Linked DNA regions of Coturnix japonica. The protein of the gene in region 4 interacts with the protein of the main gene of each other region in a biochemical or structural test. Links are inferred from orthologs where the notes say so. Each region holds a gene or a part of one and is shown on either strand. Other genes may lie near its edges.

Region 1 (4,768 bases), on a different chromosome or scaffold from region 4:
ATCTCTTTTGTAATTAGAAGGTATTGGAGATTTCATAAATAACCTTAAGGTTTGCCTTTGCAAAAGAAGAGCCTAAACTACTCACACCCAGAAAATAGGAACTGTGGTGTTTTTGTTTTGTTTTTTTTTTTTTTGCTGCCAGGGTTTGGAGAGAAAATTAAATGATCCAGGGACATTCATTTGCATTCCTCCAAGGAAAGGTCTCTGAATGTTAGTCAAAGGAGTTGGAAAAAAACCCAGCTTCTGAACAGGCATAGAAAAGAGAAACACCCAATTACAGTCTTGTTTGGTTTTCCCAAAAGGAGGAAAGCTCATTAAAAAAGGAGTTGCTGATTTACACAAACATGTGAAGTAGTTGTATACAAGTGGAAAGAGCCTTTCACTTTATTTTATTCACATCTACGTCCAGACCTTCCCATTTTGTCAATGATGATTTAGTTTCCACATTCATCTTACTGCCAGAATTGAAAAACAAGCTCCTAGGAAGTTTGTTGGAAGGATTTCTTTTGATAGAGAATTGAGACTATCTGTCCCTTTTGTGCTCACTCTTGTAGTTACAGGTGAAACTCAAGGATGAATAAAAGGCCAATTTCTGGTTCAATACAGCATCCAACAGTGCTGGGTACAGCTGAGAAATCCACAGAACGCTACCTATTGTAGAAAGCCAAAAATGCTGCAGTTGCACCAAATGAAAACCAAACCCCAAGTTGGCTTTTGACTTCTCTGATCCCAGAGGCTTCAAGAGATTAATTCCCATCACCAGCAACAGTAGAGCTAGCAGCTGGCTGACTGTTGTCTCTTCAGTCTGAGTGACCTCTGAAAACATTTGCTACTCTCTGCCAACAGTGGAAATCATGATCATTACATTCCTTTAGAAAGAGAAATCTCAAAGCTCAACTAACTCTGGGAACTGAGTTCCTGGCCTGAAATTGGGTGTTTCTCCCTTAGCAACTTAGACCAATTTTGGAGCTTCTAGGATATAAAGAGAAAGAAAAGAAAAAAAAAAAAAAAAAAAAAAAAAAAAAAAAAAAAAAAAAAAAGAAAGAGTAATTGTTAAAATTTAGGACCCACCGCTCCGGGTCTTGGCTTGAAACCTCTTGGTGATCCACAAGCCTTTTGGAAGTCCTCTGTCCAGACTACCTTGGCTGCATTTCCTTTCCTTGGGTTCTGGACTGTGGCCTGGGGTTGCTCTGTATGGGGAACACCACATGGGAAGGTTGGTTCCCTCACTCCATCCTGTGTACTGCTAAGCAGGGATATCCAGGTCTGTTGATGGATAGTTGCTAAAAAGCTTTTAATAACTACCAGATCTCCCCTTGGTGAATGTGTGATAAGAGATCACTACTGACTGCACTGCACTGGAGCTTCCAGTTTAGACACTGATTTCATCAAGAGATTTTCTTCTTTTTCCTCCCAGGATGTTTCACAGGCCACAATCTTAGTACTTCATATTTCCTCTTTTATTTGCCCTTCCCTTTGCTCTCTCTCTGTGGTATCTAAGACATCAAATCTGCTTTAGCAAACTCCCACACAATTTAGGGACTTCCTCGGGTGGGATCTAACACTTAGTTAAGCTGATGAAATTGTGAAAATAAAGGATCATAGTTATGACTATGCATCAAATCTGAATCAGAAGAACTGTTTATTTTATGAGTAATACCTGTAAAGCATATCTGTGTTCTTATTTGCTGGAGTCCAGCACTGTTCCTGTGGTCTGGGCCTGCAGAGCTTTCCCCTTACAAACAAAGCTGAAGAATACCCAAGTAATCCCTAAGTAATGTTTGCTTTAGAAGAACATGCCCCCAGACTGAAACCTCCCTGCTTTGTCCCAATGCTTTTACTTTATTTGGGGTGATGTGATAACATAAGCATGAGCAAATGGGTGACTGAACCCAGTATGGTCACCTCAATGCTGTTCAGTTTAAATCCTAATGTTATTTTTTCAACCAGTCATGTGGGAGCAATCAGCCTAAGGGCAAACCCAGCAGCCCAGTGTTGAGATCCCAGGTTTTGCTCTATTTCCCTGTGAATCAGTCAGGATAGCACTGCTGCTGGCAGTGAGGTCTGGCACACCACGAAGGACACAGCAGTGAAAACACAAATGAATATTTAACTTTTAGATTTGACTTACCGAATCACCTGCTCACCTCCATGCTCCAGGTGAGGGTGGCTGAAGTTCTCCTGGACAGGACTCAGGTGTGAGGTGTAGCCCCATAACAACATCAGCCCCAGCAAAATAAATTAAATTGCCTTATAGCGCAAGTTAAGTGCAGCAGGGTTTTTGAGAAGGGAAGAGGATCTACACAGAGCAACTAGGAGAAGGGAAAAGCCTGAAGTTCTTTCTCTCCCTTTCACCACAGGGCAGTGAGGGAGAGGGGAGAGTTAGCAAGGTTTCCTGTAGCAAAACTAATACTGCAGCAGAAGAGGATGGCAGGAGGAGTGTGCAGGGAGATGGGAAAGGGGAAGACTGAGAAAAGGGTTAGCCAATTATAAGTCAGAGTCTGACCAACTGCGGGTTGCTGCAAGTTATTTACCTATGGGCTGGACATCCAACTTCTCATCTACTAGTTGCTCAGGGCTCATCAGCTCACTTTGAGGGACATTAGGTATGTTTTCCCTCTGACTGACTGGACTGACCATCTCTTGATCTTTTTCATTCTGCATCTGTGCATATATATTAAGGCCAGGAATCTTCCTAAAACATTAACAGAAACCATCATTGGGGGGTACTCTGGCAGGTGATGTAGCATTAGCTTTTGCAAACCAAGAAACAAATCACTGTGAAAAGGAAAGCCCAGCAAACAAATCCCCGGCAGCAGTGGGGGAAGGAAATGGCCCAGGGAAGGTCATACCTTTTGAATTTGTAGATTACAAACACGGCTAGTCCCACGAAAACGACAGAGAGGAGCATCAGCATTGCTGAACCACTGTGACTGGGAGTGAGGTCCACCAGGGGAGCTGCAAGAGAGGGAGGGAAGGTTAGAGTCACCTTCAGCCTAGAGGGAGAAGTTCTCTCTCCAAATATGTACTTAATTCTCTTGTATGGTATTTATAACAGTCTCATCTGTCCACCTGTCTTCAGGGCTTCTCTCTCTTTCTAATACAGCTGGGAAGAAACCTGGGTTCAGACTAGCTGTGCTGCTCAGCCTAAGCCCTGAAGGCACCATAGCTTTCTCTTTAGAGGCCTCTCCTCTCTGGCACTTTACAGAATAAAGTGTGAAAAATACCCTATTATGTTGCAGGCAACTACTGAAGGTAGTTGCAAATGAGGTCACTTGAGTACTAAACCCAGACTTTCTGAAGGATCCTGGAGCTACCCATGGGCTACCTTGTCATGCTGACTTCCTGTTTTGCCTGGAGCTAGTCTGGGTAGCTCTCAATACCTGCTGAATAATGAGCAACTGGATACTGGATTTTACTGAAGCAACAGTGTCCTGATACCAAATGTACTGCTCTCTGCTCAATCCTCTTTCTTCACAATCAGAAGTTTGGTGCCCTTCACAGACATTGCCTCAGCATCCATGCCTTACCATGGCAAGCTCTTCTCACACCTCTGACATCTTCAGTTTCTCTATCTATCCCTTTCCTACTCCTCTGAACACTTCTCTCTCCCCCATGCCCTGTTCTCTCTCCCACAAGCCATCTCTGCAAGGAAGTGCAAAGGTTCAAGAAAAAGAAATAAGAGAAAATAAAAAATCTTAGTCAAACAAGAAGTCTCCCGGTGCTTCTCTTTAGAGTTTTGCAGCACATTTTCATAGCCCTTTGCAAAATAAGGCCACACAAAACATCCAGAAGCGTGCATTCCCAGAAATACAAAGTAAACAATATTAAATAGAGGCAGTATTTATCACTCAAATAACGCAAACAGAAGGACTCTGGCAGCAGTGTCGCACATATGCGTACTTTCAGCAATCACACCCAGCCTATGAACCAGATTTTATCAGGAGAAGCGGAAAAACTTCCCACATCCCTCAGGCTGTGCTTAAGAAGCTGAGACATCTATTGCTATGAATCCTTCATAGATCTGAACTGTGTGTGTTTGTACTGTGTGGCTCTCTGCAGTTCTGTGGGATGGTGAAGTGGCGCTCTGACTGATTCCAGCATCACTCAATGCTCTTGTTCTAATGCTGTACTCAGAACCTTGCCACAAACAGCTATTTAACTGCTTTCTGAGGAATGCTGGCATATTTTGTTCTGCCTTAGAACAGAGGTAGTTGTTCGCTGGGTTGGGGACATTGTTTTAATTCTTTTTCATGAGAAGCAGAAATGAACATGATGAATGGATTGCAATCTGTTGTGCAGAATTGCCATTAATTAATCCTTCCTCCAGTGTGGCCTGAACAGAAAACACAGGGGCATGAAATGCGCTGAGCCCAACACCTGTCATTCTTCTGTGTCCTGGGGAACGCATGTGTTTAACTACAACATGCACAAAGAGGCTCGTTTCTGCACATTCTGCACGAATGTCCACACCAAATTAATTTAAATACCTGCACTTATGTTCTCTGTAGCTTCTCTGATGCTGAGATTTCTGCTTTGCGTGACCAGGTGCACTCACAAGGAGCAACATGTGTGCACCGAGGCATGGGAATGGATTTACATACATGTTTGTCCAGACAATGCTCTCTACAGTCTACTTCTGGCCCTGCCTTAAGTGAACCACTTCCAGGTATCTCTGCTTTGTCTTACTCTTTTTTTTTTTTTTTTTAAAAGCTTGAATTTGAAAAGCAGGATTCTTCTTCCTCGACAATGGAAATGAGAGCTTTCA
Region 2 (3,975 bases), on a different chromosome or scaffold from region 4:
TACACGGGTGGAGGATTCATCTTTAAAAGCAACATCTCAGACTATTCACTTGTGTCATTTTGGCCAGATGAACTGTCTCTGGATTAAAACCTCAATAAACTGAGCTAAACAAATACCGATGGGTGAAAGGCACTGAGTTTCAAAGCAGTGTAATCAGACTTCAGCCTCTTCAGATCTCAAGAAAAGCAGCAAAGAGCCTTGGCAGGAATGGAAGATATTCCTAACGTTTTCTCTGTGCTGGTGCATTATCTGACTGCCAGTGTTCCAGGGATTCAGGAGGAAGCTGAATTTAGGAGGAGCAAATGATGCTGCTTAACATTTTCTCCTCCAGGTTTGTATGAACAACCTTTGTACCTAATGACTCATTAACGGCTGCGTTCAACAACTGAAGTGAAATGGCTGCACTAAAAACAGTCTTCCAACCTTTTTCAGTACTCATCTCTGACTTGTTCCTCATTTTAAATTACTGCAACCTGTAAATGTATGTTGTCAGTCTCTGAACTCAGAACTTTTACTGGAGCTTTCAGTTGCCTCTGGCTACAGTAGAAATAATTCTATAAATTCCATTCTCTGCAGAACTGTATCTCACTTAACTTTGCTTCAGACAAAACATAATATTCTTAATGAAATCCTGGAGCTGAAAATGTACATGTTGCTCAAATGCCATCTTTGGCACTACAGCTGCTAGAGGGAGATGTAGCACCATGAATGTGGCTATGCTCAAGTCTCTTATGCAACCAAAGGCAATTAGCTGTGGTGCTTAGGCTGAAGTGTAGGTCTGGAACATCACTGGCAACATCACTACAACCACAAGTGGTGCTTTCAGAATCAGAAAGGTACCAATATTCTCTCAATTCCCTGTAGGCATCTAAATCATATTATTTTAAAGAACTGTTACTGACTTACTGTTAATATTAATAGTGCTCTGCGTTTCAACTGATGAACAACGATTCTCTGAAATAAAAATAACAGCTTACATTCAAACAAAACCAGTAAGAAATTACTGCTGCAATGTAAGGCATTCAAAATCTCACAGTAGGACCGCTACCACTCTTTTCATTCAAATCACCTGTGCCTTATGAAATAGCCTATATGTGCAGAATTGTAATACTTTCAACCCAACATGGACTCAGGACCTGGATAAGTAATATACGCAGTGGCTGACTCTGACAAACTCTCTCTCTTTACTGGTTCTCACAGATGATTGATAGAGCTTTGCAACCAAGCAGCTGTAATGATTTACTGACACTGGACTTTTGCCTTAGTCTTGTTCCTGGCAGTTTCACAAGAAAAAGCCTTAGAAATAAAGGGTCAGCATGATAATCATAGAAAGTTTCAACCCAAGTGGGAAAGACAAAAAACACCTCAATGGTATCTTGTTTTGATTTTTAATGACTAAGTGTAACAAAACCAAACAACTATGAATTGCAAAATCGTACACATACGTTCAGTAACTTCAGATGCGTTAGTCTGTAAGTTTTGTGAATTGACCTCAATACTTATTCTTCCCTTATTCCTCCCCCTCCTCTCACATGAAAGATTCATATACAGTGCAGCTGAGTCAATGCTCAGCAAGTAAAAACATTTTAGTTACCTTCAGTAGAAAATGCATCAAACCAAACAGTGAAATATTAAACTTCTCTCATCTTTAACAACCTGTACCTCAGGTGTCTGCTTTCATTGATCAGAATTCCTTGACTAACTATAAGATCAATATTTTTACAAGCAGGAATCTTCTGACTGCTCACACTTCCTTGTGACGTGACTTATTTCAAAGGCTGTTACTTGATTCAGATTTATAGTGTAATCATTTAACATGATAATGCAAATACAAAACTAAGTGGACCACAGAAAGTTTTCTTACAGGACAACTCTTCAATCCTTAGAATTTTGGAAGGACTGCTTGGCTAATCCTGTTCATAAAATCCCTCTGTTATTTATGTTCATAAATTGATCCCATGAAGGAGAACAGATGTTTATAATTCATTGTGTTGAAGACCTTGAGAGATTCTGCTGGATAAGTCTTGCAAATGCTTCTTGACCTAGAAGAAAAAGGAAACAAATCAAACAAATATCAGTACAACGAATAATGCTAGAAGATTAAATCAGTCAATCTAATATACTTAGATTTTTGCTATTAGTATATGTGGCAGCTCTTGGGAAGAGCTGAGACTAGGAAATTTTCAGGCATTTTAGAATTAGGTCTGTAAAAACCAATCATGTCTATTCAGCATTAAACATGAAGCACAGGTTTGCCTTAACCTCCTCCTCTGGAAGATGTTTACCTGCATGAAAAATACCAGCACTAGGTAACTGACATTCCCTTAACTACTGAGTCTAATTCTCAACAGGTACGTACACTGAATTTATACAGACCTTATATCCGAGCTCTTTTGTCTTTTCTTCTAGCATGGCATATTTCTCTCTGTTTCTGTTCAGATGTTCCTTATCTCCAGTCCCCTCAATATGTTTTAGTTTCTCGTGTGAAATCTCTAATTGCTTCTGATAGTGATGATGTTTTTCAATTTTTGCTTCGAAGTGTTTCAGTTCCTCCTAGGACAATGCACATGAGTAGTTTCACATATGTATATATTTTAAACATTAAATAATGACCTTTTTATTTTTTTCTGATGCCTGAAAAGCAATACAGAATTGGCTGCCCTATGAGTAACACAGTATTTCTTTATGTGGAAAAATACCTTCCCCGTGGGAGATCTTACTGGAATTCTACTTACCCGAAAAGATTCCAGCTCTTTCTCAGTGAAATTGGCTGATTTTGCCATGTCCCACAAATCAATCACTCTTGGTTCTTCGAATTCTAAACAAACACAAATTACCAGATGAAGAAATGGACATAATGCTTTCATGCAAGATAAGCATGCCAAGCACACCAAGCAACATATTACTAACAGGTCTACTTAGATGAAAAGGGAGAAAAGTCCAAGTACTTCACTTAAAACAGCAGTATTGTAGCAAGCATTTATTTAAGAAACTTATTTAAAAGAAAAAAAAAAAAACCATCCCCAGAAACTAATTAATGCCCTGCACATTGCCTAACTTACCCGCCCCTGGTGCAGAGAGTCTAATATCCCTTCCCATGTTACATGAATTCACTGTGATTAAATGAATTAACTTGCTCACCAATTTTTACTTAATAAAATTGATACCAAATAGAGTTTAAAAAAATACCGGGGAGTCGTACCACTGGTTGCATCATATCCTTGGTGACTGACTTTACGTAAACGCTCAAACCCCTGGTTGATGCTTCTTAGCTTGTCTTTAAGCTCTCTGTGTTTGTTGTGCAAGACTTCCTCTTTCACCAGGTTCTCCTCAGATGGGTTGATTACATTTTTGTGAATATCTGTTGAAAGAGAAAAGCTATACTGACTGTGGGCCAAATCCCAATAGGTAAGAAGCCCCAGAAATCCCTCCAATCTGGGATGAATAAAATACAGTCAGTTCTTATTATCAGTAAAGCGCTGACATCATACTCTAAAAAGCAGTAACTCTTTTTGCACATTAATGCTCCTCAGTGCTCTGGAGGGCGGTGTTACAGAAAATGCCTTTTACCTCCTGCTGGTGATCAGCTGAAGTTTTAATAAGGGAATGTTCTAATTTCTGTGGTTAGCATTATCTCAAGGAAATTGAATAGGTATGGTGGGTAAATCCTATAACCCTCCCTCAGACATTTCATGAATTAGTCAGGACAGCCAATGTTGAAATAGCTTCCAACAGCTTCAGCTTGTACTCTACAATACAAACATCAAGCTGCCTGCAAGCTTCAGAGCAGTTTGATTCTAACAAAAACAGGATTAATAGAGCAAACTTAGGCTCAGAGCCTAAGATACATATCCTCTTGGGCTTCTACTGATGAAATGAAACATCCATGTCTTGCAGACTTTAAAACCACAATCTGCAGCAGTAAATCTGTGCCTGCTGCATAATTTCCAGTAAACTCCAACACGCCATTTCTAG
Region 3 (4,768 bases), about 2.4 Mb from region 4:
AATTCTGAAGCAAGACATTAGTGGGATATTATATTCATCTTTGGGACGGGTAGGTACAGAGGGATGGTGTATAGATGCTGTCTTCAGCATCATTTGAATAACACTGCCTGATTTACTGGATTCTGCCACAGCTGGCAATCCGGGAAGAAGACAGCAAAAGAACTTAAAAAAAACACAACCTTCTGAAAATAAACTCTTTTGTGGTTAAATAACCAGCCAGTTGGAGCTGAAGCTGTGTTTTCTTAGGGTGGCAGAACAGTAGGAAAAGCTGCTGGATTATTTTTGGCAGTGGTCACTATTTTAGATCTACCATTACCGAACTAACAGAGTACACTGAAAGGGTTATTGCTTTATTAGTATGTTATTCCAAAAGACGTAGCATACATTGCTACACAAAGCAATGCAATGAGCACATCACACGAGCTTGGGAGGTCTCAGATTTATGAGAACTGGATATCCTGTGTGATGTCTCATATGCACTCTTTATTTCTTTCCATCAGAACTATCCTGTAGATATTATAAATGCCTGTGTGGTCCTGGCAGACCTGCTTCAGGTGGCTCTACTTGAGCAGGTGGGTTGATCAGATGGAGGGAAGGATTAGATTGGATACTGGGGAAGTTCTTCATAGAGGGCAATGAGGTCTGTCCAGCTGCCCTGGAGGTGTTCAGGGCCAGGTTGGATGGGCCCTGGGCTGGTGACAGATATGGAGGTTGGTGGCCCTGCATGTGGTGGGGATTTGGAACTCAGTGATCCCTGGGGCCCCTTCCAACCCAAGCCATTCTATGAGATGGCCTCTGGAGGTGCCTTCCAACCTAAACCATCCAGTGGTTTTGTCTCTGGTTTTGAGTGATTACTGACAACATGCGGTCTCATCACTTGTAACCAGAATTGCCTTCAAGATGAAGATGGGAGGTTTGAATACTCATTTGTCCATACCTGTTATGCAAACTGAGCTACATTAGCAAGTATTGCTTTGTTTATGCTGCATTACTCCTGCTTACAGTGAGCCTGTAAGATGCCTGAGAGGGATTGGGGACAGTGGATAATTAAGAAGGGTCTTGTAAAGGAGCTGAATAAGGTATCTTGTCTTACAGTCATGCTGCTTGTGAAAGACAAGATTGGCACTTTAGACAATTACCAGTGAAAAAGGCACAGCTCAGAGAGTTGAGAGTGGATTTGTCCCTGTACTCCTGCAATGCAGTAGGGAAGGGTACTGAAATCATGTATTTGCTGGCTATTTACTGAAACATACTTTTAATTCTAGCTGAACACTGAGTAAGCAACTCCCAGACTGAACTACGCAGCCAACGTGGCCCGATGGCATGCTGCAGCCAACCCCAGCTCAGCATCTGGATGAAATAAAGACCTTCCTCAGGAGCAGCTTTTTGTGCAATATACTCAGAGGTAAGGACAGAACACATAGAGGAACCATGAAACCTTGAATTACCAGCATCACACAGCAGTCCAAACATCTTTACCAGGGGAAGAGTTTGTATGAGAGCAGGTAGCAAGAGATCTGATGAACAAATGAGGGAAGGATTAAAAAGCAATTGATCTGTCTTCTGAAAAGAGAAGATAAGGGCAGGTTGCATTTAATACTCTTATTTTTTGGAAATGCTTAATTCTTTGACATATTAAATAAGCTGCATCACTGTTATCTTCTAGCTAGCTATTGTTTGGCCAATAGGGGAGCTCCCACGTACCCCTTCCCATATTCTGCCTCCAGACAGGCCCTTTGTGGAAAATGATTTCTTACAATGAGAGATAATTGAGTTAGAAGTCACAGGGCTCATTAAATATCCTCCGCTTTCGTACAGCGGTTGTGTTTGTGGTATTGAAAGGATTGTGGTAACAGTCATAGCCCACATCACAAAGGCTGCAGTGCCAGCACTGGTACTGATGTGCATCTCCATGGAAGCTCAGGTGGCTGCACTGGGTGGGAACTGTGAACACTTTGCAAAGAGCACCATGGAGGAGTCCAGTAGGTAAATACAGAATGAAGTTAGAAACAACTCCCTAAAACAGCCTGTAAAATACCTCCACATCAGCAAGAGTCACAGTCCCAACAGTCTTAAGGCATGCCCTAAAATGTTAATTCTTCTGCTGGCATTGTCAGTGAGACTAATCCACTTTTTGAAGCTGTTTTCTTAATTATTTTCTACTAATGTAATAATAAAAGATTCAGTTTGGAATCTTCAGGAAAATACCACATATCCCAGATACATTTGCTTGCGTCTGGGCCACGATCCCATAGAATGCTTTGCCAGAAGGACAGGAAATACAAAGAAAGATGTAAAATATGCAACCTAAGAAGCTCAGAGAAAAAAAGTATGGCAGAAAATCAGGACAGAGCTCTTTGCTGGCATTGCTATGCCTCCATTCTATACAAGGGGATAATAATAACGGGTATTATGCATAAACACGATAGGCTGAGGCTGTTCTGGCATGTCTGAATTGCGCCTGGAGTTTGTTCTGCAAACCTTTTCCATTAACATTTCTGTTGGAAAAGCGAACTTTTTAGAGATGCAGTGACCCATCTGATTTCAATTTGGCTGCTGAACGAGGGGTTACTCTTTGAATTGTGCATAGCCAAGCTATTGAGCTACACCTAGTTCTATTTCCTTGTGCAGATGATGATGGCTGCTCAAGTAGGAGCAGCATGTGAGCAAGCAGCGACCCACAGCCTTCTTTTATGTAAATTAAAGTAGCTGGAACAGTAAGGACTTCCTCTGTGAGAGGCATTGGACTCCTAACCATTCTATCATCCCTAATTCTTCCAGTCCAAAGGAAGAATATCATCCCCATGATGCAGAGACTTGTAGCATCTCTTTAGTCTATTTGGCTTGTCCTGCTGGTTTCTTAAGCCCTGCGCACAAATACAGCCACAGCTGTTTATTTCATTGAGATAAGAAGTACCCACACAGGACTGTGGTACATATCAGGGCTCTGCATTTTCTACAGTGCATCCTAGTAAAGACAAAGCTTTAGTGCTGCTTCAAACTTTGCTTAGAGAAAGCTGAGCAGGAAGGGGTGAAGTCAGTGACTGAAGTCAACAGTGACTGACCCAAACCCAGAAAAACATCAGGACATGCTGGGAAATCACAGTGGAATTGCAGAGCCTGATTCTTCTTCTTGAAAAGCCCTGTTTGTCCAGTGGGTGTGAGGCTGCCTGCTGGCTGGACGCTGCAATTCAGGGCCAGCTGAGGCATGTCATGCAAACAGAGCACCAAGACAAGGGAGGAGCCTGTATTGATAGGGTTTTATTTATTATTATTTTTTTCCTGTTTACATCCTGTCTGTACCTAATGGTTCTTCACAGAGGAACACAATGCCAGCCCTTCGCTGCAATCTCAGATGGTGTTTTCAGTGCCTCTGCTGATGATTTGTTCCCTAGCATATGGCTGATTTAGTCAACACATGGCAGTTACCTAATAAAGTATTACTGCTGCTGGTGTTCCAGCATAATATTGTTCTTAGAGATATTTTAGATATTTGTCCCACATTTTTCCACACCCAAACAGATGTGCACATTCTCCAGGCTACAGGAATACTAGCACTCACTTTGGGTCTGCTATACAGGGACATTTGTGCAACTTCTTGCTCGTGGCACTGAGAAGAGGACGGTGTGTTCCTCTGTGCCCAGTACTGTGACCATAATGGTTTTAGCTATGCTCTACCTTAGATACCAACCAGAAATAGCCTGTCACCCATGGTGCTCCTATGTAATACCCATATTTGTCCTAATAGGCAGCCTGAACTTGGACAAATCCCATCTGCCCTTGTGACATGAGATGTCTGAGCTCTTCTGGGAAGGAGCGTGGGCTTTATCTGCCCCAAATCAGCAATGTGGTGCGTCCCGAAAGGGCAGGTGGGATAGATGGAGGCTGCTGGAGGCTGCTGAGCCAGCCAGAGTGCTGGGGCCTGTTCACATGGCAGGTAAGTGTGGCTGGGAGTGTGTGCTAATGGCTGGATTCAGGGGGTTCCCCCACTTCCACAAATACCAGCTTGGTGGTCCCCACCCTCACCCAAAGGACAGCCTTGCAGACAGATGAACTAAACAGAGAGCTATTTTAACCAAGGTCCTATTTCTACACTTGCTCCTCTGCAGGGTATTTGCAGCCAAAAGACCAGTGCTGGCCAAAAAGGTTATTGCAAAAATCACCAGAGATTTTACTCCTGGGAACATGCTGTCGCCATATGGTCTCCGCATTAATAATACCAAACAAGTGCTTCATAGTGTTCTAATAACAAATACCAGAGGAATTAATAATAATCTAGCTATTATTTTCTAATGTTCTCACTTTATGAACAACTTTTATACTGTCTGAATGAGCTCTTCTGGAAGATCAACATCTGGTACCCACATGAGATCCTGATGAAATCTGTATGGTCCTGGGTATCTTACACATTTATTGCCAGCAAACGCCATCTGTTTCTGCCAGCGTGGCTTACAGTAATACTGCATTTCTCTTTTGTTCTAGGTGCATAGCGTTATGTCCATGCTGTACTACACTCTGATTATAGCTTTTTTGATCGGCACACAGGCAGCTCCAAAGTCAGAGGACAATGGTCCACTGGAGTATCCTGCAGAACACTCCTTACCCCCTACACAACAGAGTAACGGACAGCACATTTCCAAGGCAGCCCCACAGACAACCCACGGCCACTTTGCTTGGATGCCAGATGGAACGGAAGATTTAAATATTGCCATGGACCAAAACTTCTTCAAGAAGAAGCGTTTCAGGTCTTCTCGGGTCCTGTTCAGCA
Region 4 (5,080 bases):
TATAGGGTGCCCACCCCCCCAGCCCTATACATTGCTATAGGGTGCCCACCCCCCCAGCCCTATACATTGCTATAGGGTGCCCACCCCCCCTACATCCCCCTCCCCAGACCCCTCCACTGCTGATCCCAGTGTTGCAATGAGGGGGTGGGTGGGATGGGGGTGTTCTGGGATATGGGGTGCAGTGGGGCTGGGAGTGGTACAGTGGGATGGGGGGGTACTGGTACTAGGGGAGACATGGAGGGGTGCTGGGGAAGGAGGGGATGATGGCCTGGAGCTGCAGTGGGATGTGGGGTAATGCAGGACACTGTGGGGTGGGCACTGAGATATGGGGATGCAGTAGGACGGGGGGATGCTCCAGGCCATGGGGACACACGGGGCTGTACCCAAACCCCCCATCCTCTGCCCTCCCCCCCCCAGTTTGTCCCATTCCGTGACTACACGGACCGGGGGGGCAGCCAGGTGCTGAGCATGGCCCGCCTGGCCAAGGATGTGCTGGCTGAGATCCCCGAGCAGTTCATCTCCTACATGAAGGCTCACGGCATCAAACCACAGCCTGCACCCCCCAGCCCCGAACCCCCCGGGACCCCCCCACCCTCCCAACCCCCCGGGGCCACCTGGGGACACGCAGGTACCGACCTCTGCCCTGAGGTTATGGGTAAATCTCAGCCACTCACTGCCAGCCCCCCCCCCCCACCAATGGGAATAGGGGTTTTGGGTGGGGGGGGGACACTTCCCACCCCCTGTGTTGTCCTGTCCTGTCCCCAGGACCCCCCATGTCTCTCCTCCATCCCCTGGTTGTGCTGCCCCTTTGCAGCAAGGAGTTGGGGGGGGGGAAGGGGGTGGTCCTGGGCATCCCCCCCCCCCCAGTTATTTTTCTACGTGCATGGCTGTCGTGTGCCCACGGTGCGTTGCCTTAATCTGCAATAAATGATGGGATTTTTAATCCCCCCTCCCCTCCCAAGCCCATCAAACATCATTGGGTGCCCCCCCCCCCCCCCCCCCCCCCCCCCCCCCCCCCCCCCCAAAAAACCCTTGGGGCCCCCCCCCCCCCCCCCCATAGAACCGCTCACACAGGGTCTGTTTTGCCTTTATTATTACTAAGAACCCAAAATATTGCAAATATACAGAAAAATGCCGGTATAAAGTTATCACACATCCGGGTTTATTTACAGAGCTCTACATGCCCCCCCTCCCCTCCCACCCCCCCCCCAACCACCCAGCTCTGAGTTGGGGGGGGGGGGGTCCGGGGGGGGGTCCTATGGCATCTCCCTATGGAGGGGGCATGCGCCGGCCCCACTGCGGTGCTGCAGAAGCGCATGCAAGCAGCCCCCCCCCTCCACACACCCCATTGATACCATGGGGTTGGGGGGGGGGGCACCAATCTTGCCACCCCCCCCCATCCCATGGAAGGGGATTTCCAGTGTAAGGAGACAGTGACAGTGCTGGGACTGAAACCTGGCGGGGTGAAAGCAGAGCTGGGGAGGGGGGGGGGGCAAAGGGGGGGGACAGGGACCAACACCCCCCCCAGCCCCTCGTTAAAAAGCTTCAAGCCTGAATTCATTATTGCTACGTTTCCCTCGGCCAAGGGCAGCCCCGGGGGGGGGATAAGGCTGGGAGGACCCCCCCCACACACACAGCAGTGTATATTGCTTTGGAGAATGGGGGGAGCCCCCACCCCCTGCATCCCATGTGCTGCTGCTTGGGGGTCCCCATGTTGGGGTGGGGAGCGGGGGGCACCCCAAGGGTGCTGCAGGCTGGGGGGGGGCACAGCCCTGCAGCCTGGGGGCACCAAGGGGAAAAGACCAACAAAAACCAAGACAAAAACCCCATAAAAATACCAAATACCCCCCTCCAAAAAGGGACCCCCCCTGCCCACTCCCCCCAAAAGAAAGAACAAAACCAAGGGAAAAAAGAAGATGAAATAAAAGCAAACTGACCCCCCCCCCCAGCTGCAAAGAGCCCCTGGGGTGAGCTGATGCCATGCTGCTGTGTGCCCCCCCCAGCACAGCCCCCCCAGCCCTGCCTGCCCCACAGTGCAGCTCCTGCCGTCCCAGCGTTGCTGCTACTCCAACAGGTCCTGGGGGGGGAAGAGGGGAGTGTCACTGCGGGGATCCCAGCCCGGGGGGGTCCTCATGGTGTGTATATGTGGGGGGGGGCTCACCTCATCCGAGTCATCGTGGTACCCCCCCCCTTTGTAGGGTGGTGAGGGGGGATCTGCTGCCTCCAACCCCTCGGTGCCGCTGGCCTCAGCGTGCTGCCGCAGCACGGAGTAACGATGGACCAGGAACCTGAGGGGGGGGACAGAGATGTGGGGTCACCATAAGGCCATACAGAGCAACCAGGCACTACCAGGAGCCCATAATGTCATGGGGATCCCATAGTGAGTGTGGGAAGCTGGCAGGACCCCCTCCCCAGCCATGGGTAGGTCAGGTCCCACAAAGTCCATGGGGACACACAAGCCAGGAGGGATTATAAGGCCATGGGGACCCCAAACCCATGGGGGACCCCCTGTAAATGACAGGGATGCCCCCTAGCAACAGGGACCCCATAAAGCTATGGAGACCTCACAGACCCACAAGGATCCCTCCCAGCCATAGATCCCTCCATAAAGCTTCCAAGACCCCAGAGCCAGAGGAACCCCAAGAGCCACAGGGAACCCAAAGCCATGGAGACCCCAAGGAGACCCCATAATAAAGTCACAGAGACCCCATGGGGATCACAGGTATCCCCAGCCATAGGGACCCCAATGCAATGGAAATCATATAGAGACAGAGGAACCCATAGGGACCACAAAGCCATGGGGACCCCCCAAGTCATATAGACCCCTCAAAGCCAGGGGGACCCCTCTGCCATGTAAAGACCCCTTTGGGACCCACAAAGCCCCCCAGTCATAGGAGTCATAAAGCCATGGGGACCCCATGGGGACCACAAGGACTCTCCAACCACAAGGATCCCACAAAGCCATAGGGGGCCCCCAGGCCACTGGGACCCTACAAACCCCTATAGACCCCACAGAGCCAAAGCTCCCAGCTGGGACCCACCTCCCACCACAGACGTATTTCTTGATGAGCAGCACAGCAGCCACAGCACTAACGAGCAGCACGGCCACCACGGCCAGCACGATGGGTGTGGGGCTGGGGGCCACCGCCTGCAGGGACAGCACAGCGTCACCCCATTGGGGTCAGCACACCCCATAGCCACCTTGATGTGGGGTTGTGGGGTGGCACCCACCAGCTGCCCAGGGCTCAGCAGAGTGCTGGTGCATTTCTTCTTCATGTCTGTCTCCTCCCTGCTGGGGCTCTCACCTCCACTGCATTTGTCCCCTGGAATCTTGCGGTACCTGGATTGAAATAGGGTGGGGGGGTTGATGTGCTGTGAGCCCCAGGACCCCCCCGTACCCCATGGAGGTGTAGGATTGGGGCCGTACCCGCTGGTGCGCAGCAGCTCCCGGCGGCCATAGAGGCAGAACTCCAAGTCGTGGCCCTTCAGCTCGGGCTGCTCCACACACACAGACTGGTTCTCAGGGCGGTAATACCCAAAATCACTGCGGGATTTGGGGCAGAGGGTTCAGCACCCCCCCAATGGTGTGACCCCATTGGGGCTGGCAGGATAAAGCAGGGAATGTGGGGGAGTGGGATCAGGTACAGTGATATGATGGCACTGGGATGAGGGGGGAGGGATGTGGTGGCACTGGGGTCATGCACAGGGACAGGGTGGCACTGGGATGGGGTGGGCAGGGAGATGGTGGCACTGGGATGGCAATGGGATCATGCACAGGGAGAGGGGGGCACTGGGATGAGGTGGGAGAGATGTGGTGGCACCAGGGTGACACTGCCATTGCAATGGGATCATGCACAGGGACAGGGTGGCACCAGGATGGCATTGGGATGAGGTGGACAGGGATGAGGTGGGCAGGAATGTGGTGGCATTGGGGTGACACTGCCATTGCACTGGGATCATCCACAGGGACAAGGTGGCACCGGGGTGGCACTGGGATGAGGGAGGCAGGGATGTGGTGGCACTGGGGTGGCATTGGGATCACACACAGGGACAGGGTGGCACTGGGATGAGGTGGGAGGGATGCTGTGGCACTGGGATGGGGTGGGCAGGGATATGTTGGCACTGGGATCACACACAGGGACATGGGGGCACTGGGATGGCTGCGGGGCGATGGGGGCAGCGCTGCGGTACCAGAGGAAGTCGTGCAGGGTGCAGGGGCACACAGAGGGCTGCGCTGTCACGGCGTAGTCGCGGCCGTTCTGGCAGACCGAGGACTTGCGCAGCCGGCGGAACTGCTCCTTGTAGCCCAGGATGCAGCCGTCCGACGGGTCGCGGGGGTCGCTGGAGTGCGCCAGCCAGATGGTGTAATCCTCATCCTCACCTGCAGGCAACGGGATCAGCGGGTCCCTGCTCACCCCCCTCCCATCTCCATCCCCATTTTCCCCCATTTCCATCCCCACTCCTCCCCGTCCCTGTGTCCCTTGTTCCCCTCCATCCATCCCTGGCTTCATCTCTATCCTGCCCCAAACCCATCTCTACTTTCCCCCCATTGATCCCTACCTCCATCCATATTCCCCTCCATTTTCATCCCCACTCGCCCTGATTTCTGTTCCTATTCCCCCATTTCCCCTCCATCCCTATACCTGTCCCTTCTCCCCCCTCTATCTATCCCTATCTCCATCCCTATTTTCCCTGCCCTGCACACTTCCATCCCTATTTTCCCACCCCTGACCTCCATTCCAATTCCCCTTCTATACCTACCTTTATTCCCACCCACATCAACCCCCATTTCCATCTCTATTCCCCCCTCTATCTATCCCTATTCCTCCTCCATCCCCCTCATCTCCATCCCCATTCCCCCTTGTACCAATCCCTACTCCCTCCTTCATCCCCATATCCATCCCCATTCTCCCCTATTCCCATCCCTATATCCATCCCTATTCTCCCCTATTCCCATCCCCATATATCCATCCCTATTCTCCCCTATTCCCATCTCCATCACCATCCCTATTCTCCCCTATTCCCATCCCTATATCCATCCCTATTATCCCCTATTCCCTTCTCTATATCCATCCCTATT

Evidence for each region. The genes of interacting proteins can lie anywhere in the genome.
Region 1: the proteins of SORT1 (region 4) and SORCS1 form a complex in vitro, tested with the Homo sapiens proteins (2 studies listed by BioGRID and IntAct, with this or other methods). The link is inferred for Coturnix japonica from reciprocal best matches to the Homo sapiens genes SORT1 and SORCS1.
Region 2: the proteins of SORT1 (region 4) and LRPAP1 form a complex in vitro, tested with the Homo sapiens proteins (4 studies listed by BioGRID and IntAct, with this or other methods). The link is inferred for Coturnix japonica from reciprocal best matches to the Homo sapiens genes SORT1 and LRPAP1.
Region 3: the proteins of SORT1 (region 4) and NGF form a complex in vitro, tested with the Homo sapiens proteins (3 studies listed by BioGRID and IntAct, with this or other methods). The link is inferred for Coturnix japonica from reciprocal best matches to the Homo sapiens genes SORT1 and NGF.

What each region holds. Positions count from the first base shown.
Region 1 is NC_029521.1:22,108,535-22,113,302, forward strand, and holds part of SORCS1 (VPS10 domain-containing receptor SorCS1), read right to left. Parts: intron 4,670-4,768; exon of another isoform or gene 4,549-4,669; intron 2,959-4,548; coding exon 2,853-2,958; intron 2,696-2,852; coding exon 2,535-2,695; intron 1,191-2,534; coding exon 1,072-1,190; intron 1-1,071.
Region 2 is NC_029519.1:74,331,335-74,335,309, reverse strand, and holds the end of LRPAP1 (alpha-2-macroglobulin receptor-associated protein), read right to left. Parts: intron 3,362-3,975; coding exon 3,203-3,361; intron 2,819-3,202; coding exon 2,736-2,818; intron 2,554-2,735; coding exon 2,377-2,553; intron 2,043-2,376; coding exon 1,977-2,042; 3' UTR 1,370-1,976; downstream 1-1,369. UniProt on the Homo sapiens protein: Molecular chaperone for LDL receptor-related proteins that may regulate their ligand binding activity along the secretory pathway.
Region 3 is NC_029541.1:3,978,377-3,983,144, reverse strand, and holds part of NGF (beta-nerve growth factor), read left to right. Parts: intron 1-500; 5' UTR 501-572; intron 573-1,265; 5' UTR 1,266-1,405; intron 1,406-3,748; 5' UTR 3,749-3,787; coding exon 3,788-3,937; intron 3,938-4,482; coding exon 4,483-4,768. UniProt on the Homo sapiens protein: Nerve growth factor is important for the development and maintenance of the sympathetic and sensory nervous systems.
Region 4 is NC_029541.1:1,571,762-1,576,841, forward strand, and holds the end of SORT1 (sortilin), read right to left. Parts: intron 4,382-5,080; coding exon 4,192-4,381; intron 3,545-4,191; coding exon 3,428-3,544; intron 3,341-3,427; coding exon 3,232-3,340; intron 3,149-3,231; coding exon 3,042-3,148; intron 2,289-3,041; coding exon 2,162-2,288; intron 2,078-2,161; coding exon 2,063-2,077; 3' UTR 1,072-2,062; downstream 1-1,071. Other genes in the region: copine-8-like, read left to right, coding at 418-927.